4 linked regions of the Styela clava genome follow. The main gene of each other region encodes a partner of the protein of the gene in region 2 in a complex. Links are inferred from orthologs where the notes say so. Each region holds a gene or a part of one and is shown on either strand. Other genes may lie near its edges.

Evidence for each region.
Region 1: armadillo repeat-containing protein 7-like (region 2) and small nuclear ribonucleoprotein Sm D1-like share a complex: the UniProt entries of both Homo sapiens proteins name them as parts of the minor spliceosome. The link is inferred for Styela clava from reciprocal best matches to the Homo sapiens genes ARMC7 and SNRPD1.
Region 3: armadillo repeat-containing protein 7-like (region 2) and pre-mRNA-splicing factor ATP-dependent RNA helicase DHX16-like share a complex: the UniProt entries of both Homo sapiens proteins name them as parts of the minor spliceosome. The link is inferred for Styela clava from reciprocal best matches to the Homo sapiens genes ARMC7 and DHX16.
Region 4: armadillo repeat-containing protein 7-like (region 2) and putative small nuclear ribonucleoprotein G share a complex: the UniProt entries of both Homo sapiens proteins name them as parts of the minor spliceosome. The link is inferred for Styela clava from reciprocal best matches to the Homo sapiens genes ARMC7 and SNRPG.

Annotation. Positions count from the first base shown.
Region 1 is NC_135254.1:11,227,316-11,234,009, forward strand, and holds small nuclear ribonucleoprotein Sm D1-like, read right to left. Parts: upstream 1,710-6,694; 5' UTR 1,652-1,709; coding exon 1,280-1,651; 3' UTR 851-1,279; downstream 1-850. Other genes in the region: uncharacterized protein LOC120344877, read right to left, coding at 5,388-5,579. UniProt on the Homo sapiens protein: Plays a role in pre-mRNA splicing as a core component of the spliceosomal U1, U2, U4 and U5 small nuclear ribonucleoproteins (snRNPs), the building blocks of the spliceosome.
Region 2 is NC_135259.1:3,196,539-3,205,289, reverse strand, and holds armadillo repeat-containing protein 7-like, read left to right. Parts: upstream 1-4,996; 5' UTR 4,997-5,057; coding exon 5,058-5,132; intron 5,133-5,335; coding exon 5,336-5,452; intron 5,453-6,128; coding exon 6,129-6,361; intron 6,362-6,701; coding exon 6,702-6,849; 3' UTR 6,850-7,727; downstream 7,728-8,751. Other genes in the region: transmembrane protein 14C-like, read left to right, coding at 2,576-2,651, 3,606-3,707, 3,921-4,008, 4,202-4,265. UniProt on the Homo sapiens protein: As a component of the minor spliceosome, involved in the splicing of U12-type introns in pre-mRNAs.
Region 3 is NC_135261.1:8,620,371-8,628,697, forward strand, and holds the start of pre-mRNA-splicing factor ATP-dependent RNA helicase DHX16-like, read left to right. Parts: upstream 1-5,086; 5' UTR 5,087-5,105; intron 5,106-8,327. Other genes in the region: uncharacterized protein LOC120329709, read right to left, coding at 311-453; peptide chain release factor 1-like, read right to left, coding at 1,198-2,517. UniProt on the Homo sapiens protein: Required for pre-mRNA splicing as a component of the spliceosome. Contributes to pre-mRNA splicing after spliceosome formation and prior to the first transesterification reaction.
Region 4 is NC_135255.1:6,374,517-6,381,069, forward strand, and holds putative small nuclear ribonucleoprotein G, read right to left. Parts: upstream 1,978-6,553; 5' UTR 1,897-1,977; coding exon 1,663-1,896; 3' UTR 1,103-1,662; downstream 1-1,102. Other genes in the region: centrosomal protein of 131 kDa-like, read left to right, coding at 1-34; 26S proteasome regulatory subunit 6A-B, read left to right, coding at 2,383-2,463, 3,096-3,176, 3,387-3,512, 4,003-4,110, 4,777-4,839, 5,346-5,483, 5,782-5,925. UniProt on the Homo sapiens protein: Plays a role in pre-mRNA splicing as a core component of the spliceosomal U1, U2, U4 and U5 small nuclear ribonucleoproteins (snRNPs), the building blocks of the spliceosome.

The sequences.
Region 1 (6,694 bases), on a different chromosome or scaffold from region 2:
TGTTGCTATATCCTTCACTTTCAGAAGAAAATGTGTGCGTAGATTTTCCATGATCCCACAACACAACAATGTGTAACCCACAGCTTTGCAGCCAAACTATCAAATCTTAAAAGATAATGTGCTGCGTGCATTGCAGAAAGTGAGATGCCAATTGAAACTGAGAGAGATTTCAAGAATTCATTAGTTTGGCAGAGGACAAGGTCAATAACACGAACATGGTGATTTAATTCAGGTAGGGTAGTAAGGAACGCTCCTTGAATTGAGAAACTTATTCGCAATAAATAGGAACAGTCTTCACACTAATGCTCCGTATAAATGAAATATATACCTTTGTTAATATCTTTCAAATAATATTTTAAAATTGTTAATCAATATATCAACTTTGATTGGTGTCTGATTACTGGGGGGTTCGGGTTGACTGAAGTATTTCAGTCCAAGCTGTCGAACCCGATTTAAACAGGCCCATGTAATTCCGTGTCATTCAAAAATATGGGAAACATTAGTTCTGTCAGAAATAAGATATATCTTTCTGAGATATAATCTAGTTTCCACAACAGCTAGATAATTCATAGCAATATGTCCAAGTAACTTTGAGGGAGTACCGTACTATTCAACCTGCTTGCTGAACTCTCCTAACAAATTCAACTGTCTGGTGGCGGCGAAAAATATTTGAGAAAGCAGATGATTGCAATATCTGATGCAGTTACAACTTCTCATACATAATGAGCATCATAATCTGTGGAAACCCGTTTCAAAAACAAGGCATATTGACTTGCTGAATACCTCTAATTTCTGTCAGTTTGGAGAACAAACATTAGTTCTTCACGCATGCAAAAATTCAAAAGAACAATTGTAAAATATTCATTGTTGTAATACAGTAATAAAATGATTGTAAATCCCAATGAAACATGGTTGAAATGAATTGCAAAAGAACAATTTTTCTTTTAGGAATAAGACTGCAGGATGAAATTTTTGAAAATGATTGTAAGTCCCAATGAAACATGAATTTTTCTTTTAAGAATAAAACTGCAAGATAAAATTTTGGTGTACCGCAAATTTCTTGTCTAGCATTAGATAACCAGACAACCAGGGTTGAAAAGGAGTTCCTTTAGCCCTGATTTATAATTGATTATCAGCAAGTACAGTCAAATTACGATAAACAGAGTGCCAATATGATTATTTTGAGCTGCATGAAGTCGAAAGGAAATTTCATTGGTCATAAAATTGTTTAATAATAATCCCAAATAACTCGATATTCAAATCCAGCATTCTTATTATTTTAATATCTCCTTGGTGGGCCACCTCTTCCACGACCACGCATTCCTCTTCCGCGACCACGGCCTCTACCACCGCGTCCTCCTCTGCCTCCACGACTGTCTCTGAAGGTTCTTGGTCTAGGCCCTTCATCTACGAGCAAGGTATCCAATGGAAGAGAATCCGGCAATATATAATAACGAATATTATTGCCACGAATGCTGAGTGTCTCCAAGGTGACTGGCTCCCTGTTCTTAACAGTCATTTTAACTGATTTCAAATGCGTATTCATACAAATATCTACGCCAGTGATGGTGCCATGCACCTGGGTACCATTTTTCAGTTCAATAGTAACTGTCTCATGGCTGAGTTTCATCAAAAATCTTGCGAGCTTCATAGCTGAAGTCTGCGAAAAACAGAAACGCAACAAACACGCCAGTCAACGAAGCGGGAATTATGTTTTACAACAGTGCCTAAAGTGGTCAGTGATAACCTTTGACCGCATATTCCAGTGAAGTCGTAATGAGTTCATTTTGACTCCATATTCAGCATAAAAGACGATAAAATAATAATAAGAAAATAAATAAATAAAACTGATATCAGAACCGGAAAGCGAACAAAATCTTTAAGTAAGGGCTAAAACCGTAGTAGTATATATTTACGCTAAAACGTACAAATTTCAGATTAGAAGGTGTTGTCAAAAGAAGTAGTAGCCTACGTGCTTGCTGAAGTCAAGTTAAGTGAAATTTATTTTTTCCAACCAGTAAAAAACAAAAAAACATGCAAAAATATAAAGAACCAAGAGAGCTACACCCAAATAGAGGACTTACACGGGTCACGTGACCTTGTTTACTGGACGGCAATAAAACAAAAACGTCCATTTGGCTCCTGTCAGTTGCAAGTCGGATTATACGTTTCCGTTTTGTTTGCCTGTTGAAAATGGTTATTTCGTATTGTTCCGTTGGCTGTACGTAAAGTATAGACAACGAAATGGATCTTCAGTTATATTCCACTGATTTCAAAAGATCCGGAACGTCGCGCAATGTGGATATTATCTATTGCCTATTGGCAGAACTGCTTGGTGTCAAGTCCAGAAGCCATCTTACCTGTGTTTCACTGTTTGCAGATAGCACTTCGTTGACAGTGAGTGATAGTGTGCCGATATCTTTTTTTTTAAATATTCACAAGCTCCCTCATTTCAATGGAAAGCAGATGACAAACTACTGTTATTAGTAGGCCTAGGCGTGGGCCTACTTGCAGTTGCAGACTTGACCTATGTAAGACAATAAAGAATTATTAATCAATTGCTATAAGGTATTGTTTCCCTAATTAGCAGGTAATCTATTACTAAGTGTGAAAGGTTGAATAGATAACTAAAGTTTAACACCAGTGGTCATGCAAAAAATAACCAGAATTCAATTGAATTCGCCATCTATGAATACGCTCGCCACCGCCTCTCTGATCACTCTGGTAGTTTCACAATCCCGTGCGGGGATAGTTATGTGCGAGAGGATTGCAGCTCTACTCCCACCGAGGGTGGTTCACATGACCGCTGATCGGTTACGACCATTCCCCACCATCCAAGTCCATGCTTCTGAAAACAAATAACTGGCTCCCCTTGTGTGACAGCTTGCGTGACTTGATAATACATTCTCAGTATCCATTTATTGATGCTTATCGTAATGACATAGTAACTTGTGATTACTGTGGATTGGTGGAGATAAAGTGTCCATTGTTCTTTAACGAAAGCAACTTCAAGACGACCCTATCAAGAAAAAAAATTGTTTTGGTGGGTTTGGTAGGGAAGGTTTTAGTCAAACGTTGGACACCGATACTACAACCAGATACAGTTGCCAATGAAACTTACCGAGGCGTAATATTTCGACTTTGTGATCTGAAAAGAAATTCTGATGGGTAGCCGGCTAGCCGCAACTTTTTTTAAAGAATATTATGAGATATGACTTAAGAGTCTAAACTTTTATTTGAGAGGGGTGTAACCCAAGATAATTTGCAAATGGTATTCATGGTACCAAATGTATCACACACTTTACAGTAATTATAAATTATATTTTAAAAATAAAGCACATCAAAAATGTATTTTTAAAAAACAATTGGTTTTATCTGCAGATACTAGGTTGATATTGACCATTTCAATGCTAAATTTTCTTTAGTCAAAAGGCACACTTGATTCGCAAAGATTTGAGAATGCGCACAGTACACCAATTTGTCTAATGTTTTGATTCCATAGGCAGGAGGTTGTGGATCGGTGCTGCTCAGGATGGGATATTTTTGCCTCTAAATGCATATTACGTGTTTCACATGAATCCATCGTGCTCAGATTCGACTGTTTTCAAGGTCTGAAGGCTCCAACAGCCTTATTTCATGGGTACACAAGAGAATTTTCATTGTGGCATGCATGAGTCAGTTGGAGTCACTAACCTCAAGATATATATAAGCAAGGATAAGATAACCTGAAAGTAACATTCAACAATTTAGAGTAACAAATGTATCTGCCTCCACAGCCCTTTCAAATGGAAGATATGATGCCTCGGGGGTAATTTATATCAAATATTTTACAGTATTATGGTTCTAGTGAAAAGGGGTGTAGGCGGCTTTTTTTAAATTGTGGTAGGTCTAGTCGAAAGACACATTGAATGTTTATGCTAACAACTGCAAATATTGCAACGCATACAAGTTAACAAAATTTGTTGAAATGGTCCTGCCTTTTGCCTTTCTTCAAAATCCCCCTTTTTCTAAATATTCTCTTCCACTCTGGGGATGGCGAAAATTCAAATATTGATGGGACATATAAGCAGCTGATAATGGGTTATCTTCCCTTTTCCTGAAAATAAATTAAACACTAATCATCATTTGACAGTGCCAAGTTTGTGTATCAGATCAGTAATAAATTACCTGCTAACTAACAAAACAATAAGACAAACAACACCTGATGACCATTAATGAAGATTTCTTTCAATTTAAAACGCAACTATGCCTACCAATGTGGGTAGTTTTTAAGATATAATTTATCTGTGGTTGGGGACAGATCGCAAGGTGCAACATCGTACGATTACCATTCCATGTCAGGATTAGTTAGCCAGTTATTCGTTTTAGAAGCATGGACTTGATGGTGGGGGATGTCGTAATCGACCAGCGATCGTTTGACGAGTTCTGTTCGAAATAACCGTGTTCTTAAAATATATGACGGGGGGGGAGGGGGGGGTTCGCTGTTCCAGCCACCTTCAGCCTGAGATGAATGAGGAGATTGGGAGATTGTTGGTAAAATATTTTGCTTAGGCCTCCGTGTTAATATGTTTGAGCATTGCTATCTTGTATTTCAAATGTTCCGACAACAACAGGACCCGCCAACTGCATTTCGTGTTAAAGTCAAGGTTCGCATGTGACGATTTGCTTTATTTAAACTTAAAGAGTGCACACATCTTTCAGAAAATCATCAAATGGGTCTACAGTACTGAATATCATAAGTTGAAATTGTATTCAAAGCATTCCATTTTAAATGCCAATGCATTAAATTCTATAACCCCTATGTCTACCACCTCTTCAAACAAATCAATTTATTTTATATTTAAGTTTGCCCAAAGCAAAGTCCCGAACCCTAAAATAAAATTGTAAAGATTAAGTATAAGAAAATTACAGACGAGAAGTGGAGCGTCAAGGGTCATATATATGTTTCCTCAATTGATAAGTAGGATAAACTCGAAAACAAAAGCATCCATATGCAAATAAGTGAATATGTACTTTTCCAAGGCTTGCGTGAAAAAAGGATGTGGAAACCCTTCAGTAAAAAGTTCTAAAAATAAATTGTACTCAAGAAGAATACACTATATGACCGGACTCAATCCTACATTCTCCTTTTTGTGTTGAAGGTTTATTTTGAAAATTTTACAGCGTAAAATATTCAGTTTCTAAATAATGTGAAGAAATAATACATCGCCTTCACAATATCTTGCCTAAACAATCAAGCGTTTGGTAGAATGTTTATTCAATCGTTCTTTCTTGATGTGCCATAAAAAGTATTATATAAATGACAAATATTGAAAAAATCACATAAAAGTTAGACGCTCGGTCCCCTCAATCACGCCTTATAAAGACGGCTCATTTGTTATAAATCGTCAGCGTTTACAAACAACACCATTCGAATTAGATGTCGGCGGTGCGTTGTACATGCCTTCACCCCACCAAGCAAAAGTTGTAAGCCCAGCTTGTAGAAATACGTTTGTGTACATGGTGAATTCATTTCCAATCCTGGGTTGATATTGAGCCCATTTCGTGTAGTTTGTAGATGTTCCGATAACGGCACCATTCTGAAAAATAGATCAACGATTAAACTGAAAACAAAACATTTATAGGAAATAAATTTACCCATGGTAAAATGGAAATGGAATAATAGAAAACGGGTTTCAAGAATTTTGATGACTTGTTCGAATAGTCCATACTGCTCACAAACAATGTTTTTCATCAAATCTGCCTCACATTCGGATGATGATACAAGATATGATCTATCGTGAACTTTTAAAGGATAGCCTACAATCTCACATTACCCAAGAACAAAAGATGTCAAACGTTCCATCAAATTTAAGCAGATGAGACCTTATTTTGCTTTGAATGAAGATATAAAACAATTTCTTTTTATATGACCAGGAAAATGTGATCTACTGTAGCCTGGTTTACGAGTTGACTTTGACATTTCGCCTTGTGCGAGCGCGACTAATCCGAGTACGGTATTTTGATATCATCCTATGCATGTGAAGCACATGATGGAACCTATAAAATTCCTTTGTGTAGTGCCTTCGGACTCCGTTGACCCCACTAAAAACCACTGTAATAGAGAATTGATCAAATATCAATAACTGGTAATAGGCTTGCACGTAATTGACAAAAATCAATTCCGTAATTACGGCAAAATCAATTACGTAATGACCCCGTAATTGCGATATTTTTTCACGCATTTAAACCTATCATAACAACCAATTGAATCCACTTCTTTTCCGAATGGGACATTAAAGTTGGGTTTTCATATTCTTGGCAATAATACACGCCGGTGGCAGATGTTAAAGACAAATATCAAGGAGTGAATTCAAATTAATTTTATTCTGATTTATATCGTTTGTGTTAGCTTTGGTTTTCCTTTATCACCTTCGCAAATTGACCGTCCCATTTTTATGCCATCAATTTTATCATTACCGACACTGGTATACGGATATTTATGGAAACGATAGTTTTTTTAAATCGACTTTCGTACTGAATAAAAATTACGGGTTTCCAATTTATTAACCAACGACGAGAGTATTCTCTCGTTTGATTATACTTGCGATTTCCTCGCGACGAAAACTTGTTTTTGCAGCGTTTTCTGCATTATCCGACATTACTGCCTTGTTAGCATTTCATCATAATAATTATTGATGTCGACTTATTGACG
Region 2 (8,751 bases):
TGCATATGCAAAAGGTATAACTCGCTCATTTCATTCTCAAAGAACCGTTTAATAACTATTGGTGGATGTTCTTGTGACAAAAAGTAGAACTTCAGGGGTGGGTGAAAACAATTCTAACAATCTTGAAATTCTAGGAAACAAGGAGGAGCAGCGAGTCTTGCTATGAGAGAGAAGTCTCTTGTATTCACAATTTGCAAATTTACATTATTCTTTCAGTTGTTCAGTTCTAACTGTGTAAATAGAAAAATATCGATATATCTTATTGATATTATTTTCAATATCGATGTTCATTCTTCCAGTCCCATGATGAATACAATTGTTTAAAACGTGTGCTGAGCAGCCAACCACAATCAATGACGGGTTCAACATTTTCTTTAACTTTGCAAACACATTGTTTCCTTGCTCATTACGCCGAAGTTCTCCGAACATAGTATTGCAGTTGTCTCCTGTAAATGCCACACATTTTTTCAAAAGCATCATTTTTTCTGAGGTGTCTTTTACATACGTGGCAATTATGCCTCGTTTGCCTTGTTTGTAAACTGAATCAATTTTGATTGCAAACCACCTTTCCTCCAGTCAAAATACTGTATTGAATAATTGTAGAAAAAAGTTCCAGAAAGTTCATAAGTGGTAAACATCATTGATAAGGAAAACGCTCTGTTACATCATAATTCCATACAACCTCGTAGTAAAAAATATGCGCACGGCACAAAATAGCAATGTTCTGTATTAGCAGTGTGCACAGTACAATTGCAGATGCAGTAAAATTCCAGACATTTGAGCATTTTTTTAAATTCATCCCGGACGCAAAATTTAACCCTAAATTCCGGACATGTCCGGAAGGTATGACAACCCTATATTAAGATTACTAGAATGAAAGAATACTATTCTAAAATAACATAAAATATGTGATAAACTGCCAACTATAAATAAACTGGAATCGTATTTTTGCGATCTTAGAATTCGTCGTACTTGATTTGTTCATTCGCACACAAGATTCGTTTTTAAGATAGCGCCGTTTAAAAAATCACAATGTCTGCGCAAAATACGAACAATTGAAATTTATTTTATTGCATTCGGCTTCGTCGGTAGTTTCAGATTCATGACTTGTATTAACCCTATTAAAAAGGTTCAGCATTTAAATTAAGTAAAGTACTTTTAACTTGCTCAGGAATATTAATCTGAAAGTAACAATTTTAACATTTATTTTGGGGCTCCGTGAATAGTAGTCAACCTTTTCAAGGGCTCCGCCACACCAAAAGTTTGAGAACCCCTGGCACAGAGGATGTCATCATTGACGCGTTTATGTATTTTTATTTGCAACGTAGCCACAAAATGTCCTCTTTGATGCAGCGGATGTTGCTAGGACATAGAGCAGAGGTACCTTTGGACGACAACTGCGATGTTCGAATAAGTTTTTTTGTTTAATTGTTACCATTGCAACATTTCTTCTTGAGTCGCTGATATGCCAAGATTACCGTCTTTGCAAAATTTTGATATCTCAGCTGAAGCCTCTGTCTTCCTGGCCAATTCACCAATGTCAGCACTCTCTTCAAAGCTATACATACCATCATTGATCAGGTTTTCAATACATGCTTCATTCTTCCTGTCGAAGAGTTCTCGATGCATCTTGCTTCAGGTGAATAGAAGTTATGAAAGTAATAAGTGAGAGAAAAAAGATACAAAATGGGGCATGCGGGAAGAGAGTGTAGAAATATACTGTAGTGAAGTTTGCGTCGTCGTAGCAACTCCAAATAGCAGTTTGTATCTACAAAGACTTGTCACAAAACGTTATAACTTGTTTGCAATTCAAGTTTTAGCCGTGCGAATGGATTCCATAAAACGGAGTCGATTCCCCGAAAAATCGAATTCGCCATGCCCACGCAAGACGTGAATATATTTCATTCCTTGTCTGCAAAAAGATATTTTTCAACGTAATTATGGCTTGATCCTAGGCTTTTATAATCCTAATATATCTATAAGTTCTCGGAGACACATAGTTTATCATCAATATACCCAGCACTTCGGTGAGTGAAGCATACAAGAAATTTTCGAATGTCTATTGCCAATGAAGCAAGATGGTTTAATCAATGGCGAGTCACGGTCTCTTGTCCGGTTACAAGTGCATGTGATAAGTAAGTCAGTTATTTGTTTTCGGAAGCATGGACTTGAACAAACACCTACCTACTAATCCCATACCTCTATCGTACCTCAGCCGGACGAAAGGACATAGTTCGCCATATGATAAAGCAGCCTCTCTGCCCCGGAAGAATATGTAAATCCTGTTCTCTCCTATCTGATACAGTTGTCAACTTGTTATGTAATATTTATGATTCTATCTTTATATTGTGGATGGCCATGCTTATATCAGAGCCATTATATAATGACTCTGCTTATATGATGGCCTTGAGATTTCCCTATGTGGTGGCACTATAGAGCAAGTGCCATCAGCTTTGCAAAACAACCTTGGCCCATGCACAATTGCAAAGGTTGCTTCTGTATCAGAACTAAAGGATTTACTGATTTAGGGTAAACGTTTTGAGCAATCAGGAAAACTAGAGTACGTACTGAAAAAATGGCAGTCGATTGGATCGGATTTCTCTACGCTGCGACTGTTGCAGCTGGCGGCATTGTTGGATATGCTAAAGCAGGTAAGGGAAGAGATTTCAGATTTAGACTAACATCAGTTGTATTTCGATGTTATCGATACGGTAACCTAGATCTAAGGTTCTGACTAAATACTGAAATAAGTAACCTGTTAATGGCATAGCGGCAATTTATAAGCAACACCAGTATGCACACAATTCAAAAACCATGAGAAAATACAGAAATAAACATTATTTTTGCATGTGTGTTTTGGCAATTACAAGCATTAAATAAGGAGACTCTCAGACTCTGGAAACAAGATGTCATGTATATTAAAAACAGGACTTGAGCTGATTCTAGCCTAATTAGGATGGGATTTACATGGGAGAGGCAAGCTGATAAGACAGCTTAATCATACTGTCATATGGCGAACCACGGCCTCTTATCCGGTTGCCAGTCCATGTTGGGTATGGAATTAGACAGTTATTTATTTCCGGAAGCGCGGACTTGATGGTGGAGGAAGCCGGAACCGACCAGCGGTTAGGTGAACCACCCTACGGGAGCGAGCAGTTCAGCAATTCTTTCACGCATAACTATCCTCGCATGGGATTCGAACCTGCGAACCCATACAGGTTGATCAGAGGAGGAATTATTATTATTAGAGTGATACCTCGGTAGTCGGACATATTTTGTTCAGGCTCGAGGATGGTTGTTCAACTACCAAACTCTCTTTTTTCAACTCGATAGTTGTTCTCACTGTTTTCCTCCCTCTTCCGTTTACAACTACCTTTCTTTGGAGCCATGATCAGCAGCAGAAAGGCAAGAAAAAGAACTGAATCACAAAAATTTCTCAACACATGTTAACTTGATAACTACCTAAATACCGCAGTATTTTGGACTCAAATTTTTCGGTTAAGGACCGGGTTGTTACAGTGTCGAGTTGTTTGGTTATCGAAGTATTAAGTAGACTGCAATACTATTAAATACTTAAATCAATCATTTTATCTTTTTATGTTTAGGAAGTACAACCTCATTAGGAGCAGGTTTATTATTTGGAGGGCTTGCTGGTCTTGGTGCATATCGAACATCTAAAGATCCAAGTGATCTCTGGCTTACTGTTGGTAAATATGTATTCATTTTTTTCCTGGTGGTTTTCATAATATTCCGAGGTGCAAGCTTTTGGATGATGAAACTAGAAATACATAGATAAATCAATTTTGAATATAATTCGAATTTTAGATACAGAAGTCTATATAACGTGAATAATGCGATTCCAGGAATGTATTAAAACATGTACCATACCATTTCCTTGAAAAGCTTTCAATTATTTTTAGGAGTGTCTGCATCACTTGGTGCAATGATGGGTTGGAGATTCTACGGGTCAAGAAAGTTTATGCCTGCCGGACTTGTTGCATTATTGAGGTGAGATATTATTAGAATGGTTAGGTTTAGCTAGGTTACAAGCCCTCATTTGAACAAAAAAAAGTTTTTACGTTGAACAATGAATTGTCAGCCAGGACAAATTTATTCGAGTGTGCACTATTTGTTTATAACACTCATTCTGTAATAATCCTCATCTGTTCATTCTCAAATTTCTTCTTTTTTACTATTTTAGTGCTGGAATCCTTGTGCGGAGTATTTGTAACCTCACAACTGGTAACCAAGGAAAAGTGGAATAATCACCAACATTGTTCTCCATTTTACTTTTTTTGCTGCTATAAACCAGCTTTCTCAATATAACGAACCAGTGAGAGAAATGAGAACTATTTAGATTATGAAATATATAAGAATATGATGGGACTCTGAAGTGTGCTTCTGCTCTGTTGCACCCTAGTGACTGAAACTAATGATGGAATATCTTTTCAATTTGTTTTCTATGATTTTTTGTTTGTTATTTTTTAAAATTATGATTGCCTTACAGCATTTTTGTCAATCATGTCATGAATGAATTTTTATGTTCTATTTTGACAACAATAGTACAATACATTCCTGTTGAAATTTTGTTTGTCATGTTCCTTCCTATTCATGAACCCTGTCACAATTGAAAATGTACTTTTAGTTGCTTTACTATTTGCTATTATATGGTGTTCACTCTAACCCTGACACGGGCCCAATCTGGACCGCCTGATGAGCTCGAGGAATTTGTTGAGATTGCAATTAAATTTAGTGTTGGCACAAGGCTTATTGTTTTCCACTTTTGCTTATGTAACACTTTTACGTCACACTTTTATGGCCCGCTAGTCTAGGTGGTCAAAATTTTGGCCCCTGGTCCAAAAACCTTGCCCACTCTGACCAATGCTGTGGACAACTAGAATATCAGAGCTAATGTAGATAGGAAACCATTCCCTGACATTCGCTTGATTCCAATTCATATACACTAGAAATGGATACTAGTTAGATATGTTTCTAACCTGGACAACATTGTTTTAGCACAGTTTACTTGAGTAAAAATATTGTAATATTTTCATGAAATGTTCACAACTCATAAAAGGTTACAACAAAGGACTCGACCGAAAAAAGATTTGAACAGATTTGACTATCTGCAGGTGATATCCTCATATACAATTGTGTTTGTTGGTAGTCGTTTGAAATTAGGATAGGATTTATATTATTGTGACTGGGGGATTGTATTCTATATTTGTTCGAAAGGAGTTTAGTAACCTATATTCCAGAATGTCTGATAATAGTTAAATATATGTGGAAGCTAAAATTCCTTGGACATATGATAATGGGATTAATTATTTTTCAGGCTCTCGTAACTGAATTTCAGCAAACAAAAAGTGAGTCCGACAAAGAACAAGTTCTAGCGAATCTTGCTAATTTTGCCTATGATCCAATAAATTATGAATATTTGAGGAAATTGCAGGTATTTTAAACAACTGTGTGGAATGAAAATCCCCTTGTTGAGGAGTATATAGCATGCTTTAGACCAGTGGTTCTCAAACTTTTTAAGCCATGCCCCCTTTTTGGAATTTTTCAAGTCTCACGCCCCAGCCTGAAAAATAATAATTGACTACAAATAATTAAGCTACAAATAACTGATAGTAAGGAGAAAGTATGTTTTTTCAAACAACACATTGAAAATACGTGGATGGAACGTAAAATAAGGAAATATAAATATGCAAAATAGGTGAGCAAGATCAAATCTCACAAATATTTTTATTTTAAATTAGCTTCACAGCCCCCTCAAATAATTGTCTACGCCCCCTTGTGGGGCGCGCCCCACCATTTGAGAACCACTGCTTTAGACTTTTCCATTTATTCTTCTCCTATTCAATATATTTTGGCTTAATTGTCGCAGCAAGAACTACGAGTTTAGATCGCCAATTATCAGTCCATATGACCTGGAAATCTGGAATGTTTTATTTTCATCAAAGGGCAGGCCTCTTTCATGAATTTATCGCATGTAAATCTCAAATCAGTTTGAAATTTACTTCCCTCTGCCAGTTTAGATGGAATTATTGATATGATGAAATTCAAATGCCATGTTCTATTATCCTAATCCAAGTGTAAAAATCTGAAAGCGCTCATTGATCTTCCAGGTAGTCGATCTTTTCCTCGATTGTTTGACAGATGATGAAGACATTAATTCAAAAATTTCAGAGTTTGGAATTGCAGGACTTTGTAATATAACGGCAGATCCTAAGTTCAGGGATTATGTTCTGGATGGGGATGATAGTGTACAACTTATCATGAGATGTCTTTATAGTGTTAATACCGAAACTGTTCTTTCTGGAATGACAACATTGATGCAGCTTATTCTACCACAATCAAGGTAGGTAAGTTATTGATCCATAATTGGACTCAGATTGGCCAAGATGCTCAGTGGTATTGGGCATCATGATAGGAATACGCTTGCCACTGCACCTCTGATTACACTACATGGTTCACTGAATCTGCATCACTTGGAGGATAATTATGTGCAAGAAGATGGACTTATCGCTGCCATAGGGTGGTTCAAGTAATGCTAGTTGGTTACTGCTACCTCCGCAATCAAGTCCATGCATTTGAAAACAGAATAACTGGCTAACCAGAGCTCGAAATGGACTGGTAACCGGATGAGAGTCCCGCGTTTGCAATAAGATCAATCTTGTCGAATTGTGTTTCAATTACAGGAACTTGATTATAACTCCTGCATTGGTCAAAAATTTGAAAGTTTTCAAAGAATCGGAGGATAATCGAATCTCAAATCTTGCCACTGTATTTTTGGAGGATTACTGTGTGAGTGAAAATAAAGGAAGAAAGAGGTCATTGAATACCTAAAGCAAAATTCGAAGGGTTCACCTGAAGAAGGTTCAGTTGTTAAATGCTGTTGGACATTGTCATGCATTGATCTCAAATGTATAGCAAATCCAGTAAAATGTGATGGTTGGCTTGAGTATACAAATGCTTGTTTGAAGAAAACTGTTTGGATAAGGATCCCCTGATGAAAGTACTTCAGTATTTCTCCGCAGTAATACTATCGGGGATCTAAATAGGAGCGACTGGTATAAAGACTGCCCTCAATTCATCCGAAATGGATGAAAACTTTGATTGTTAGTTTTTAGCACGTTGTAATGTTCGTTTGCACTCTTTTTCACCGATAGTTGTGCTTCTAAGGCAGGGCTACTCAACTGGCGGTCCGAATCCGGCCCTCCCGGGTATTCGTTTCGAACCGCGCCTTATTCTTTATTTTGGATCATTAGCCCCACTTTTTGAGTTTCCTTTCCTAAAATAACTTTTATGGATTTAAATATATATGAAAAGAACTATAACGCCATAATAAACAATCCTGATTAGCTAATAATCATTAGTCGGCCGAGGAAGTGCGTGTTTGAGGATGCCAAAATATGGAAATCTGGAAAGACCGGACCCAAATTTTTTTGAAGTTTTGTATGCGGATCTTCAGTAAAAATAGTTGAGTAGCCCTGCTCTAAGGTACCATATGCAGAGTGTGAAAGGGATTTTGGCCACATGTAGCTGACTCTTGTGACATTTGATTCCGAATGACTGAATGCATACTTCACTGTAAAATGAAATTCATATTAAAAAACACATGGGCCGGAAGTTAGTGTTTTGCTATTATGGATTTGATTATTGACGGTCGTGGCTTCTGATCTGTATCCCCCCATTTGGTGTAAATAAAACGATTTGGGATTTTAGTGCTTTTAATATATACCTACTCCCTCCAGTTGAAACAGGGTTTTCCAGATATGTTTCTGGCCCAGAGAGCGACTATAGTGTGACAAAAACTGACAATGAGGGAATTTCGAGGCCATAATTGTTATGATCTTGCGTAAATCGATGCGACATGTCGGGCAAAGTTATCAGTATCTGGTAGAAAGATGCAATGAAAGTCTTTCGTTAGGATTTGTATCGCTGTCTCCGTTCAGTAATTTAATCAAAAATCCGAATGCAATACTTATGCCAGTCTATGCAATAAATGTCATCATGAGCCATACATTAAGATTGCATATGTTATTGGACGGGTGTTCTCGTGCCCAAACCGAGCGGGTAAAATAACAGTGATTTCCCTAAGGACAGTACTGGATTGGATATACAAAATTCCGAACTCCCGAAAGGACCATTTATTCCCTCCCCATCTCCCTTCCCCACCATTTTTATGTGTTTTAGATTGGCATGGATCTTCAACATGCATCCAGTTTCTAAATTTATATTCAATTACAAAACATATTATACACGCGGACCATCATGCCCTAAAATAAAATTCTAAAAAATCTACTGTAAGCTTACAATTGGCCTGAACTAGACTTAATCTTCTAATATGTGAAACAATTATATAGTATACAAAAGCACTCAATATGTGGCTGCTAAAGCTCCAAAATAACAATAACTTATCGACGATAGTCACATTCCACAGGAGGCTCTGCGCTAATTCAGGGTGATATACAACTTTCCCAAACTAGGTTATTGCACTCCTAATATTTTCAATAGGTCATTTGACGAAAGATGGCTTCTTCGTCGAACTTAATCGAGAACTATTTGAGGTAAACAGTTACCGAAAATAGATTGAACAAATTGAAATTCTTGCTCTTGAGCGTGATAGAAATCATAATTTTATGATACTTCATTACTTCGACCAATGACATTAAACAACATGATAGGCAACTCTGACGTCACTCCATAAGACTACAGGCAAAACATTGTATTTCATGATACGCTCCA
Region 3 (8,327 bases), on a different chromosome or scaffold from region 2:
GGAGTCGAAATATTCAAACTTTCAATGCCAAAATAATAAGGCTATGGATAGGGATAGGATTTTATTTACAATCCTGATTTAACAATACATAGCATATTTGTGCAAAACTTGCAACATCACAGAATATTTAACTGTAGGTAATATTGAGACACATAGATTGTAATCTATCATTATTAGGAATAGTGAGCCCCGAAAAAAAAATCAAACTTTTTTATCTACAGTAAATTATACCAAGTTGTTCATCACCGAATTAATTTTTATTATTCTCTGCCTGAGATAAAAACAATGTAACGACAAAAAACATACACACCTCGTGAATCCACCATCTGTTTTTGCCGATCTGAGATTGAGAAACTGTCTTAATTTCTTCAGAGCTTTATCCCTACATCTTTTATCGTTTCCAGCTAACCGTCTGGCAAATTCAGCCTCGATTGAAGCAGGAGCCACAGCCATTTTGGGCTTTTCAAACAGGTAAATTTAAAATTATGACTAAAAGTCAAATATGAAAAAAACATAAATATATTTTAGAATATTATGGACATTAATAAATATTTGACTAATTCGTAATAAAGAACTTGGAACATGTGAACAATAGCAAAAAATTGGCATTTAAAAATATCAAAAAAAGATGCTAAATTTCATGCTCAATTATCAAGAGTTCACAATCAGTTGTTTATAAAAAACACGCTTTTCGACTATAAAAGCCATGTTTAGCAATCGGAAAGAGACACTGAGAAACAATATTTTTTTAATAGGATGGTCAATGTCAATACATTTATCACATTTAGTTTAAATACTGCAATAAAATGCCTGCAATACTGCCCAGTGACATCTCTCGATAGAACTGCCATCATTTTCACACCATGAAACAATATAAAGAGCATTCTTATACCAAATATAGATTTATAGCCAATTAATAAAAGGTATAATCCAAATATGTAGCCTACCAAATGTAGCCTGCCAAATGTAGCCTGTCAAATATGTAGATAATTTAACAAACTCAAGTTGCAATCAGCAACTCACTAGGTAATGTAATAACCTGTAGGTAATAGGTTCTGCCACTGATTCATTTGCAGCCAAGTCAAGTTCACTAAAAAAAAATATTTGATTGTACCTGTATAATAATATAAGTTAACAACAACATTTTTAAAACTAATTATCGTTTCCGGTAGCCTATCAATCATAATCAGATCATAGTTACTTTGAAACAGCTGATTTGACTTTCTTGTCATTAAAAAACAATTGTCCTTCATCAAGCAAAATTTTACTTGTAATATTTAATTCTTCCAATTGAGTTTTACTGTTTAATTTTTCCATCAAATTAAGCAAAGTTGTTTCACCATTAAGAAACTTTGCAATTCCATGGGTAGTGAAGCCAATTCTATGATCAGTCACACGATCTTGATGATAATTATAAGTCCTAATTTTATCGGAACGCTCCCGATTTTTGACCTGCTGTTGACGAGCTTTAGTGAGAGCACTTTGTTGCATACTATGTTTTTCTGATGCTAATATAGCTTCTAGCATTTGCATAGCACGATCCTTATTATCATGTTGAGATCTTGTAGCATTACATTCAACAATCTTTCCAGTTTTAATATGTTTTAATCGAATTGCGGATTCAGTTTTATTTGCGTGTTGACCACCTGAAGAATTAGAGCGTTTAAAACGTTGAACCTCCACATCTTTTTCATCAAGTGTTTCAGTTCGATTGCTAAAAACTGGAAGTAAAGCGACGGATGCTGTACTGGTGTGTATTCGTCCAGCTTTTTCTGTCTCTGGCACACGTTGTACCCTATGGGTACCAATCTCATTCTTAAACAATTGATACATATTTCTATCTATAAAATTTATATTTGCTGAAGACTTCTTCAATCCTCCAATATCAGTATACTCGACATTTAAAATTTCAAAATCATGTCCAAATCTTATACAAAAAGATTGATACATTTCGAGTAATTCTGATGCAAAAAGCATGGCTTCTTGACCCCCAACGCCCGCTGACACTTCGAGAACTGCGTTGGAAACTTGATTATCACCGTGCATTATTTCAAAAAGCTTCGACACAATTATTTCATTACATGACTCTATTTCTTTCAAAAGTTCTTCTTTTTCATCTTCTGCAATTTTAATTAAATCATCTTTTTCATCAGATTTAGCTTCAGTTAATGCTTCAGATACAAAAGATTCAACTTCTTTTAAATTATCATGAACACCGTACAGATTATCAATATCATTGTTCAAATTTTCCAATTTATGAATCGCAACCTTAGGATTGCTCCCAAAAAACTCTAATAATGAAGGTGGCCATTTTGTCTTTGAGCTAGATTCTATATTTAAACGTCCATAAGCAAACTTGAAATAATCAAAAAGATCTTTATGGTGAATCTTCTCTCCTTTCATAATCGAAGACGTAGACAATTGAACAGCATGTCTGATAATGCCACAACATGTAACTGATTTGTGTAATAATTGAGATTTATTGCAACAAGTCCGAGTGAGGAATGTTAGAAACATAATACAGGTTAATCCTGTAATTATAGTCTAAATAACAAACCTAGAACTGATGAACAACAGAATAGCAAATTCACAGATTCCAAAAATATCCCCAATATCTGAATATTTAGATATATGAAAATAAATAAGATGAAATTTGGTAGGAGACATTTCTTTAGTTCTTTACTGCTGTACTGCCTAACTGATACAGTGATATGGGACATGCATGCAATAAATTAAATATAGATGTTACTTTGACAGATTCATATTCAGATATTCTATTTCCATCGTGCATGAAGTATTGTACCGACACAAGTAATAAAAAAAATGGTAACAATAATATCAATTGAAATAAAGAGACATACAATATTACTGCAAGTGATAAATTGATCAAAATCTTAAAACTGTAACAAGCAATGATTTAGAGAAGAACATTTTGTTTGAGTAATAGGCGACTGAGTGGGGTGCCTTTTTGCATTGATAGCATTATGGAATTTGAAAAGAAAAAATTATGATGAATTATTTGACTGATAATTGTTGATTCTATAGTGAATTTAAACTATAAGTTATTTAGAACACTATATCATTGATATTCAGGGTCTCATGTAGTTCCTACCTAACATACTTCTAGTGGGCGTAGCATGACAATTTTTTCACGTATCAATCCTAACCCCCACCTGACTACACCATCCAAAAATTACATCATTACCACGTCACAGTGAAGTCTGAAAGTAATAGAGCCCTTCAAACTATATGAACTCGTCGCAACGATTCCAATAAGAGAGAGATCGATAACGTCGGTCAGTTCTTCTGTTCTTTAGCGTCGGCGCCAATGCCATTTCGGGCGATTGTACGTATATTTGGCAAGCTCAGTCTATGACGGGATTGTGATCTCGTAGTGACGTAATTTTTGGATGGCGTAGTCAGATGGGGGTTAGGATTGACATATCAAAAAATTGTTATGCTACTCCCACTAGAAGTACGTTACGAAAAAGGTACGAAAATACACGAGACCCAATATTCAGATATTTAAGTATTATCAAGGCATTTCAGTAAGTGTGGCCCTCGGCTAGCTTACGGGAGAGTGACAAGTGTCCATCCTCATTTTTTGTCCAACTTACGCCAATTGTCACTTCTACACTTCAACATTCAGTTCGACTGTCAGACTGTTCGATAACAATTCACTCATTCAGATTCTATAAGTTCAGAACTTTATCATAACTCACAATTCAGCAATTCTGTAATTGAATATTTCATGTTGCAGTGTTTCGTCCGCTTGAAACATGTAATAGCCTACCTACTCCACTCAATTACGCGAGTTACCGTATGTTATATCCCTATTCTACATGCGTCAGTCAGCAGACATATACATACATAAGCATATGAGGTCCCAACTTTTTTTTTTTGCCAAATTCAAATCCATTGCCAAATCGGATTTATACAAATGATAGTTTTGGTATATCCAAATAATCAAATATATATTTCAATATTATTGCATGAGGTCCAAATTTTATTTTATTTTTGTGATGTTATTTAGGTGATTTCATACAATGAATAAGTATACAATGAAAAGATTACGCAACTAACTGCAGCTAATAGCCATGCTGCAACAATGGTTATTTCCCGACCCTTGACCTCACCTCGCCAATGCAAAATATTACAATAATATTATTTTTTTTTTGAAGGTGTTTCAACGATCTGGTCATTATATAATAACTGAGGTTAAAAAAAATATTCTTATCTATATTTACACTTTCCGTAACTTTTATCTTCATTATGACGAGTATTGGGATAAGTTAACATTTGCATATTTGTCCCGGGGGGAAGGAAACCGATAAGACGGTCTTAATATAAGTTTATCCGACGCCATAATCAGCATAACAGCAACAATGGTATATATTTACGGAAAAACAAATAAATGAATATTGATCATGAAATCAGAAGAGCAAACCAAACCTCAGATTAGGTTTAAAACATACAGATATAGGATGGAAAGTTTTGCCAAGGAGGATAGGATAGGATTTACATATTTATCCCGGGGGATAGGAAAGTCGATAAGACGGCTTAATCATATGACGAACCACGGCCTCTCGTTCTGTTTTCGGAAGCATGGACTTGATGGTGGAGGAAGCCGTAACCGACCAGCGGTTACGTGAACCACCCTACGGCGGCGAGGAATCCAGCAATCCTCTCGCACATGATCATTCCCGCATGGGATTCGAACCTGCGATCCCACGAAGAGTAATCAGAAATGCGGTGGCGAGCGTATTCCTAACGCTTAGCACAATGCGCCACACCGCCGAGCCAAGAAAAGGTACGTGTTCACTAACCTGAAATTAATAAATGAATTCACACACACTCACATGTACCACTCGCAACCACAGAGATATTATAAAGTAAAAAAAACGCTATAAACTTAAAAGATAGAAAACAAAAAAAAAAATAAATAAAATCATAATTATGTCTGAAATTCCGCCTCCGATTAATTTAGAATTTCGACTCCGAGTCCCGCTACTAGCTTCACAATGGTAGCAAAGTGACTATAAATTCCGACTTTTTGACATTGATGAACGGCAACTAAACCTTCTCGATAAATGCAGAAATGCGAGGTTGGTATAATGGATTTTATTGGTGATTTCCGTGTACAAATGATATTTAATGAAATTCTGCTGTTTATGAGAGATCATATACGGCAATTATCGTAAAGTAGGCCTAGTTCTGTAGTTGGAAAGATAGGTACGGTAATCATATGACATTACCGATATGATTATTCAGCCGTCCTAGTTTGTACCGCACTGCTGATTTACAAGCTAACGGTTGTGTATTATTACTGTATTGCTGTAATGGTCTATATCAGTGGCCAGTGGTTCTCAAACTTTTTTAGTCCCAGAGCCGCATTTCAAACCTCAAAGTTATTATATTTGATGGTGTAGCGTACCGGCAATGTATGAAATAATTATCCAAGTTCAGAATATCTTCTAATATGATCTGACGTCAAGTTTTCTCTCAATAGTCCAAGTCTTTATGCTATTTTATGTCATTTATTAACAACTCGAACAGTAAACGATCCAAAACAACCAAACACTCCCCAAAGGAACGAAAAGCATAAAATAAAAATAACAGATACCAGGCAGTAAAATGCAAGAAAGACCACATACACAACAAAAACACTGACCAACCCTGAAATCCAAGACAACTCTGAATAAAAAACCAAATGACCCCTAGAATCTGGTACAATGAACTAGCTACTGCAATTTGTAAAACAGGCCGAAAGTAACTTATGACAGGCATTTAAAAAGACTATGAACAATTCTATAGGTGCACAACATTTGAACAATACTGATGAAAGCTAATTCCACGATAAAACTGAAAATACAACACTACGGTAAATGAACTGTAATGGCACTGTACTGGTAAAATCAATAACATGGTCCCTACGTCAGCCCACTGTCCAGCACAAAACATCCGACAGTCACACAACACAGACAAACATCCCTGAAGACCAGACGCATTCACACAGACATTCAAAACCCACCAATCTAACCGAAACACTCAGACGACTCCACTCTGTCACACACAGCATACACCAACAGACCACGCTGCCCCCGAGAACCGATCGACCGTGTCGCAGCGTCTAAACTGCTAGAATACCAAATATGGAAACGATATCACATGACGTCATTTAACAGGCAAAACAAGGGTCGTCACATTACCCCCCTCTTCTAGATGGAACATTATGAAAGAATGTTTTCATCTCTAAAAAAAATATTTGAAACACGAAAAGCAGTAGTCAAAACCAAATTATGTCCACAAATGTCTTTAAAATATGCAGGCCGTCTACCCTCACGCTTAAGCATCCGTAAAGTTTGTCATTCGGGATTGAGTCCACCAACGTCATCGAAACGACCAAATTGATGTTGCATATCTCCATTGGCTCAACAATGGCTACTATGTTAGATCTCCGGACGGCCAAGGCTGTTGTAGCTGAACTAGAACAACCATTCCCGAGCGGCCGGTATAACCACATCTTCACTATAGTCCCATGACAGCAGGGAGAAGCTGTTTGGTGCTGTACCTTAACATCCTGTCCCTCAAGAACAAAACGATGCGACGAATTTGCCAAGATAGTCCATCCGTGACCCTAGATCGGCGACGGCAACGGTATGCTCCACAGGCCAGCTTTCAATCGTCAGGTTGACATCAAGTGCACCATGAGACACTAACGACTCGCCACTGGCAGTACGCAATGGTACTGGAAAAGAATACAGTTCTGAAATGTCCGAATTTCCTGCAACGTCGAGTAAACAGCGGTGTCTATGAGCGAGACACCCGAACCGAATTTTCCGCAACGTCAAGTAAACAGCGGTGTCTATGAGCGAGACACCCGCACGTGACCCTGGATCGGCGACCACAACTGTATGCTCCACAGACCAGCTTTCAATCGTCAGGTTGACATCAAGTACACCGTGAGACACAAATGACTCGCAACTGGCAGTACGGAGTGGCACTGGAACAGGATGCAGCCCCGAAATGTTCGAATCTTCCTGCAACGTCGAGTAAACAGCGGTGTCAATGAGCCAGACACCCGCACCGGTATCAATCAAAAACAAAACAGGCACGTTATTGACCAGAGCCTTGACATATCATCCATTAGTCCAAGTAATAGAAAAAAAAATCATAGTTCATAGAAAATATCCTGGCGTGCTCTCGCCAAAAATTGTAGCGTACCGGCAATGTATGAAATAATTATCCAAGTTCAGAATATCTTCTAATATGATCTGACGTCAAGTTTTCTCTCAATAGTCCAAGTCTTTATGCTATTTTATGTCATTTATTGACAACTCGAACAGTAAACGATCCAAAACAACCAAACACTCCCCAAAGGAACGAAAAGCATAAAATAAAAATAACAGATACCAGGCAGTAAAATGCAAGAAAGACCACATACACAACAAAAACACTGACCAACCCTGAAATCCAAGACAACTCTGAATAAAAAACCAAATGACCCCTAGAATCTGGTACAATGAACTAGCTACTGCAATTTGTAAAACAGGCCGAAAGTAACTTATGACAGGCATTTAAAAAGACTATGAACAATTCTATAGGTGCACAACATTTGAACAATACTGATGAAAGCTAATTCCACGATAAAACTGAAAATACAACACTACGGTAAATGAACTGTAATGGCACTGTACTGGTAAAATCAATAACATGGTCCCTACGTCAGCCCACTGTCCAGCACAAAACATCCGACAGTCACACAACACAGACAAACATCCCTGAAGACCAGACGCATTCACACAGACATTCAAAACCCACCAATCTAACCGAAACACTCAGACGACTCCACTCTGTCACACACAGCATACACCAACAGACCACGCTGCCCCCGAGAACCGATCGACCGTGTCGCAGCGTCTAAACTGCTAGAATACCAAAACGATATCACATGACGTCATTTAACAGGCAAAACAAGGGTCGTCACAATGGTCACAATGCAATGTGACAAATATTGTTTTTTTGTTTCAATTTCATGTTGTTATTACTGTATTATTTATCTGTAGTGCATTACATTTTCAATTTCTGGTTGTATATCAGCGTAGTTTACTTTTATCAGTATTATCTTTTAGACCAGGGGTTCTCAAACTTTTGGTGTTGCGGAGCCCGTGAAGAGGTTGACTATTATTCACGGAGCCCCAAAATAAATTTTAAAATTGTTACTTTCCGATTAATATTCCTGAGTAAGTTAAAAGTACTTTACTTAATTTAAATGCTAAACCTTTTTTAACGGGTTAATACAAGTCATAAATAAATCTAAATTTTAA
Region 4 (6,553 bases), on a different chromosome or scaffold from region 2:
ACAACGAAAACAACTCCTTGGCAGGAAGAAATAGCAATATCTCCTGGTTAATAGAATTCACCATCAAATATCTTGCCTGGTCCAGCTTAAGGTCTTTGATTTTCAGCCCTGAGCCTAACATAATGTCATCGGTATAACCTTGTAGCTCCAGCTTTGTCCAAAGCTCAAATCGTTCATTTGGTCACTACATTGTCACATTGATGGTTTTATACATGCCCTACCTGGACTGTTTTGGTAGTTTGGGCGACACATGTGCCTTGTTCTGTATTTTAGCATAGCAGCGTTTTATCCCTCACAGAGAATAGAGAATATATTTTTGTACTAAAATGATTACTCAATTTCACCATGGGTATCATGTTTTACTGAAATGTTTTATTTTTTAGTTATTGCAAATTTTGATATATTTGATACATTATAATAGTTACTTTTCATTGTGCCGGCTCTTTTAAAATGGGAAGGTGAAAGAGGCAGGATAAGTGAGTAGTTCATTCGGATTGAGCACAGAAAGTAAGTAGGGTACGGCATTAAATATTAGGTCAGGGGGGGGGGGGGGCACAATGCTAGGCGTAAAACTGATTTTACTATCCACTTCTCAAGAAAACTCTCCGTTCTTCCTAGTTTCGTTGCTTGATGAGGTTATTTCACATGGTGTTCCTCCCTTTTTTAGTGCATGAATTGTTTGAACATAATGGAACTTGGAATCTACCAATCAAAATAACACTGGAATGATAAACAAACAGCGTGGCCACGAGCCATAAAAGGTTGGGAACCACTGTAAGAGGTGGTCTTGGAACATCACTTCATTTGCAATCTAATTGATTTTGGAATCATATAAATATCAAAATTGGGTATTATTCTTTTATTTCCTCAATCCGTTGGGAGAAGTTATTTTCCCGGCTTCCCTTTTTATACTTTGCTTATATCTCAAGAAAACAAGGATCAAAGAAAACGACAAACAATTAATAGGACGATAACAGCCCATTTTGACAGGCATTCGTTATGGGATAATGTTTCTAAGCGAATGCGGATATGCACATCCGTCTATGTGTATCACATTGCAGGCTTTCTCAATAGGATTGTGTTGAGATTTAAAACATAGACGTTCACTTTTAAAAATTTTATTCCATAGCAAAATGCTATTGGCACATAGAAAATAAGACTTACAATTCAATTACCTTCATACATAGATCTAGCATGAACTGAAATTACACAACTGCAACAGTTAAAAATGACAGAATGAAGGTAATTAGAGCCACAGGAAACTATGCATTTTATTTTGCTCAATATTAACAGATATACTATTTCCCAATGATATGCTAAGTTAAAATACATATGGTTCGCAATGCCACTTTGGGGGTATAGAAACAATAGTGTCAAACCATCACTATTGGAGGTAAGCAGTCACTGTTTAGCTTGTTTTGCAATCAAGTATTTAAGTAGTACATGTTTGGAAGCTACACTAGATCAAAGTAGGGTATACAAACATAAATAAAAATCGCTCTTACAACTTACCGAAAACAGCACAAACAAAAAGAAACTATGATAAACGCTGTTTTCGATAATTAGCAAGACCGAAAATAGATCGAAATGTTTTTATAAGTCTATGCACAATCACGGATTGTTAAATCAGTTTTTTTGTGGTTGGTATTAGTTCATTAAAAATCATTGAATCCTTTCCAATGCTTCCAACATTAATATCGAATTTCCGCGAACGACCACCATTCCGACGGGTGCAGTGGTCCCGTCTTTTCTGCGCTCTGTTCCATCATCCACAACTAGATTCATGAAAGGATCGAATCCTCGCAAAACTCCCGTAACAGATCGTCCACCATTCAACTTTAAATCCAATCTTTTATCCATAAACTTCTTCAATTCTGGTGGATGGGCCTTGCTCATCTTGATATTACGCGATACAATCCAACAGCAAATACCGAAACATACAGTGCGCAGAAAGTGAACTGAGCGCAATCAAAACGCGCGTCCTTATTTTAAGAAGTAGCTTGCTTCTCCCCCTAGCGTTTGAGCTCATCAAAAAGAATATGGAGTAAATGATGCAATATGCTTACTCTGGTCTTAACTTATTTATTAATTAATTATTTAATCATAAAATATACAAATAGGAAAAATATTCAACCAAAATTGTATTTATTTCCTAAAAAACTACCCGTAACGCTCCAGTGGCAAAAGTATGAGTAAGCATCTAATATATTTGCATTGTCAGATTTTGTTGTTCTGTCGTTTCAGAAGGGACGGATTTACATTTAGAGGTCTGGAAGTTACGTACTGTGCCGTACCTTGAAACTCCAAGCTATCATCATATATTTTTCTATTAGAACACAATTTTTTAGAAATTAAATCGCTGTCGCAGTAGTATAATTGAAGATGGCACCTCCGGCAATTGATGAGAAGCTAAAAAGTCCTACTGGAGACGAACAACAAATGGATATGTTTGACAGTGTCGAGGTGAGAAAACCGCAAACAATGTTAGATAAAATTTTGATGAGGCACTAATAATCAACATTACTTATTTTTTTGTATATTTTTTTTCACTGAGTAATTGATTTTAATACTTTTACTTTTAATACTACTACTTCTTTTAACAATACCTTTCCATCTAAAATCTGTATGCTTCAAACCCTAATTAAGATTTTGTTTGCTCTCCTGATTCTATAATCAGTTTTGTTTTCAATTATATTATCGTCTATTATGCTGATTATAGAGTCGAAATGAACTTATACTCATACTTAACAGTTAGCCTATGCTGGCTATATAGTCAGAAAATGAATATATATAACATATATACTTTCATGCTATAAGTTACCTAAAAGTTGAATGCCCAGTCTCTGAATTAAGGTTTTGATTTGTCAGTTTGTTGCCAAATTCGAAAAACTTTGAATATTGCTTTTTGGATTTAAATACCGGTAGTGTACCGGTAATAGTTATTAACTCCACACGACCACACACTTGAGTAACAGGTTTAAAGGTTGATAAAAATCACTATTTTTTATTTTATATTATTAAAAAATTTCAATTTCAGCGTGTTTTGAGCTTGCCATCCAATGATGCCTGTTTAACTTTGTATATGACTTTTTTAGGAAGCACTCGGTGAAGAAGTTATGAAAATGAGCAATGAGGAAATTGCAAGTCGAACGAAACTTCTTGATAATGAAATTAAGGTTTTCTTCATATTATTTTACCTTAAATAATATATTCACAAACAATTTATTTACGGTATATAGATATTTATATAATGCTCTTTGTTCTCAATTTTTTTTTTTAATCCCTCATTTTCAAACTGTTTGACAGAACTTTAGTGCCAAATTTTTGTTTTCACTGTGTAAGAATGCTTCGGAGCAAAATATACCTTATGTTGAATTGCTTTCCAGATTATGCGAAGTGAGACGATGAGAATATCACATGAATTGCAAGCTATGAAAGACAAAATAAAGGAAAATGCTGAAAAAATTAAAGTTAACAAAACGCTGCCATATCTTGTCTCAAATGTCATTGAGGTATGTATGATGTTGAAACTTGAAACTTCACTCTATATATTTTTTCTAGCCAGGAGGTTGGTACATCATGCTAAGAGAGGGGAATACGCTTGCCATCCCAACCTTCGATTTCTCTGCAAGGATTCGATTGCTTTGGGACATATGTAGGTACTCTTAGCCATCGTAGGGTGGTTCGCATAACCGCTGGTTGGGTACGGCAAATCCAAGTTCATTATCTGAATAAACTATTGCCATACCCGACATGGACTGGTAACTGGATGAGAGGCAGTGGTTTGGCAAAGGGATAACGCCGCCCTAAAGTCTCTCTGCTCCCCCAAGATAAATATGATATTCCTATTCTAAAAATCAAAAGATGCTTTTATGAACTGACATCAACTAATCTCATGTCATATTGATTGGTTATCATTATCAATGAATAACCCTTTTAAATCTTCTCTAAACGACTTTAATTACCGTATTTACAAAACAATGAAAAAATGAAATATTTCAGCTTCTTGATGTTGATCCTCAAGAGCAAGCGGAAGAGGACGGAGCAAATGTTGATTTAGATTCTCAGCGCAAGGGGAAATGTGCAGTGATTAAAACATCAACTAGACAAGTATGCCATCTGATTTTATATATATAGCATGTTATGTGTATACACTAATTCAGTGGTGCCCAAACTTTTTGTTCGGGAGCGCCAAATTATCAGGGAAAAAACTTTTAGAAAAAAACTGCTACCATCAAATAAAACTCAATTTTATGATCGTTAATGTGTACTTCATACCTTTTAAAGTTAGTAAATATGTAGGCCTAAGGAATAAAGGTAAAAGGTAAACTCTTCTTCCTCATCTCTGCCTGATTTTCCTCTGGAATGGTGAAAAAATCACTCATGTTTGCTAAACTCGAGTCAGCAGAATGATGAAAAAATCACTCATGTTGGCTAAACTCGATTCAGCAGATAAATAAACTGCAGCTCGCGAAATTCCAGTAGGTAGTGTCTATTTCTATCTTTATGTAACAATAGAGGCAGACACTACATAACAGAAAGTAAATTTGTTGTGGCTCAATTAGCGTCTCTTTGGAAACCGCTGCACTAGTTAGATATTGAGAGAACAATATAACTGAATCTGTTTCATTTATTTAAGTGAGTGTATGTAAACGGCCAGATCATTAGCAAACAGTCATTCATTAGAGGCTTTCAAATTTTGATTCTTCATTTTAATATAATTTATATCCGTTTTATGGTTTGATGAATCAATATATTCTCTCTTTTTGTTTTTAGACGTACTTCCTGCCTGTGATTGGTCTTGTTGAACCAGAAGATATGTCTCCTGGTGATCTTGTGGTAAGATTAATAATAGTGTTTGCCAGGTTGCTTCTGAAACAGATTTAAAAAATCTGGAATATAAACTTTGATTTATATACAGGTTGAATGACTGACTTTATTGCATTGACTGTGTGTGTTATATTTCGAAGTTTAAAATCCGGTACTGTACTCTAGTAACCGGTCCGGTAGTATGTGAACCAAGATGGCGGACACCGGAACGTAGTACGTGTGTGTGCCATGTTGGGTTTGGCCATGATTTTATTTCAATTTTCCTTATTTTAGTCCTATTACTAGTTCAGGGACTAGCCAAGTGACTCCCGTAGTATTTGTCCCTGGAATTATGGCCCCTGGAATTATGGCCTAACCCTAACCTTGCACTCGTACTACGTTCCGGTGTCCACCATCTTGGTTCACATACTACGGGAGGTCCCAAAATCCTACATGGCCATTTCGTTTTCAAATCGGAATCTTAATTTTTTTTTAATTTACTAAAGTTGATTTAATCCTTTCTTAAAATTACTCAGGGTGTAAATAAGGATTCATATCTAATATTGGAAAAGCTTCCAACAGAATATGATTCTCGTGTTAAAGCAATGGAAGTTGATGAAAGACCTACTGAACAATATTCTGATATAGGAGGACTTGACAAACAAATTCAAGAGGTGATCATTCATACAAAGTAGGAAAAAAATTAAACAAACAGTAACAAAAATCAAGAAAATTGTTTAAACCTTGTTTGTGCAAGTATTGGCAACTTTGCCGAATTTCCATCCTGTATTTTATCATTTTGTACCATGCCGAATTAAAAATAAATCTTATCTATCAGTATTGAAAAACTGCTTATTATTTACAGAAATTGTGGGATTAGTGAAAAGATTCATTGTCACTTATAATCTAGGATTCTATAGTTTTTTATCATTTCGTTACTAGTTAATCTTATTTCTTATTTTTTTCTATTAGTTAATCGAAGCGGTTGTTTTACCGATGACTCACAAAGATAGATTTGTCAGTATTGGAATTCAACCACCCAAAGGTGTTCTAATGTATGGGCCACCTGGAACTGGAAAAACTTTGTTGGCAAGAGCTTGTGCTGCGCAAACTAAGGTATTTTGAGTTTCAAAATTTAATGATAATTATGAAATACTTTCTAACTAATGAGGATATGCTCAAAGCAACATTACACACATTCACTAAGAACGTAAAAGACTCATTCTGGGCAAAATGGCAACTACGGTACCTACTAGAACACGGGTGTGCAACATTTTTTGTCGATGGGCCATATAACTAACATACTTCAAACATCTAGGTGGGCCACACGAAAAAATCAGTGTTTCCATGTACACAACAAATTAAGAAAGTTTCTGATATGTAAAATATGAGTTATTTAACATTAACATTTTAGTGGGAAAATTGAAATTTTGAGTTCTTGCATGGTTTGTTAATATCTGATGTTAACAAACTGTCAGATTAGGATTTTATGCTTGATCAGGGAAAATTTGGGTGTAGATAAGGGCCACACTAAATGGCTTGGTTGGCTGGGACCTCGGGTTGTGGCCCGCCGGCCACCTGCTGCGCCCCCCTGCACTAGAATGTCAAGTGCTTCTCTTACCATATAGAATTATGGGGATTCATCACATATCAGTAAATCTCTGTTGACGTGAGACTTGAATAGTAATCAAATATCACAATTAAGCTTGATTAATTCATATATGACTTAGTTAATAAAACTTAA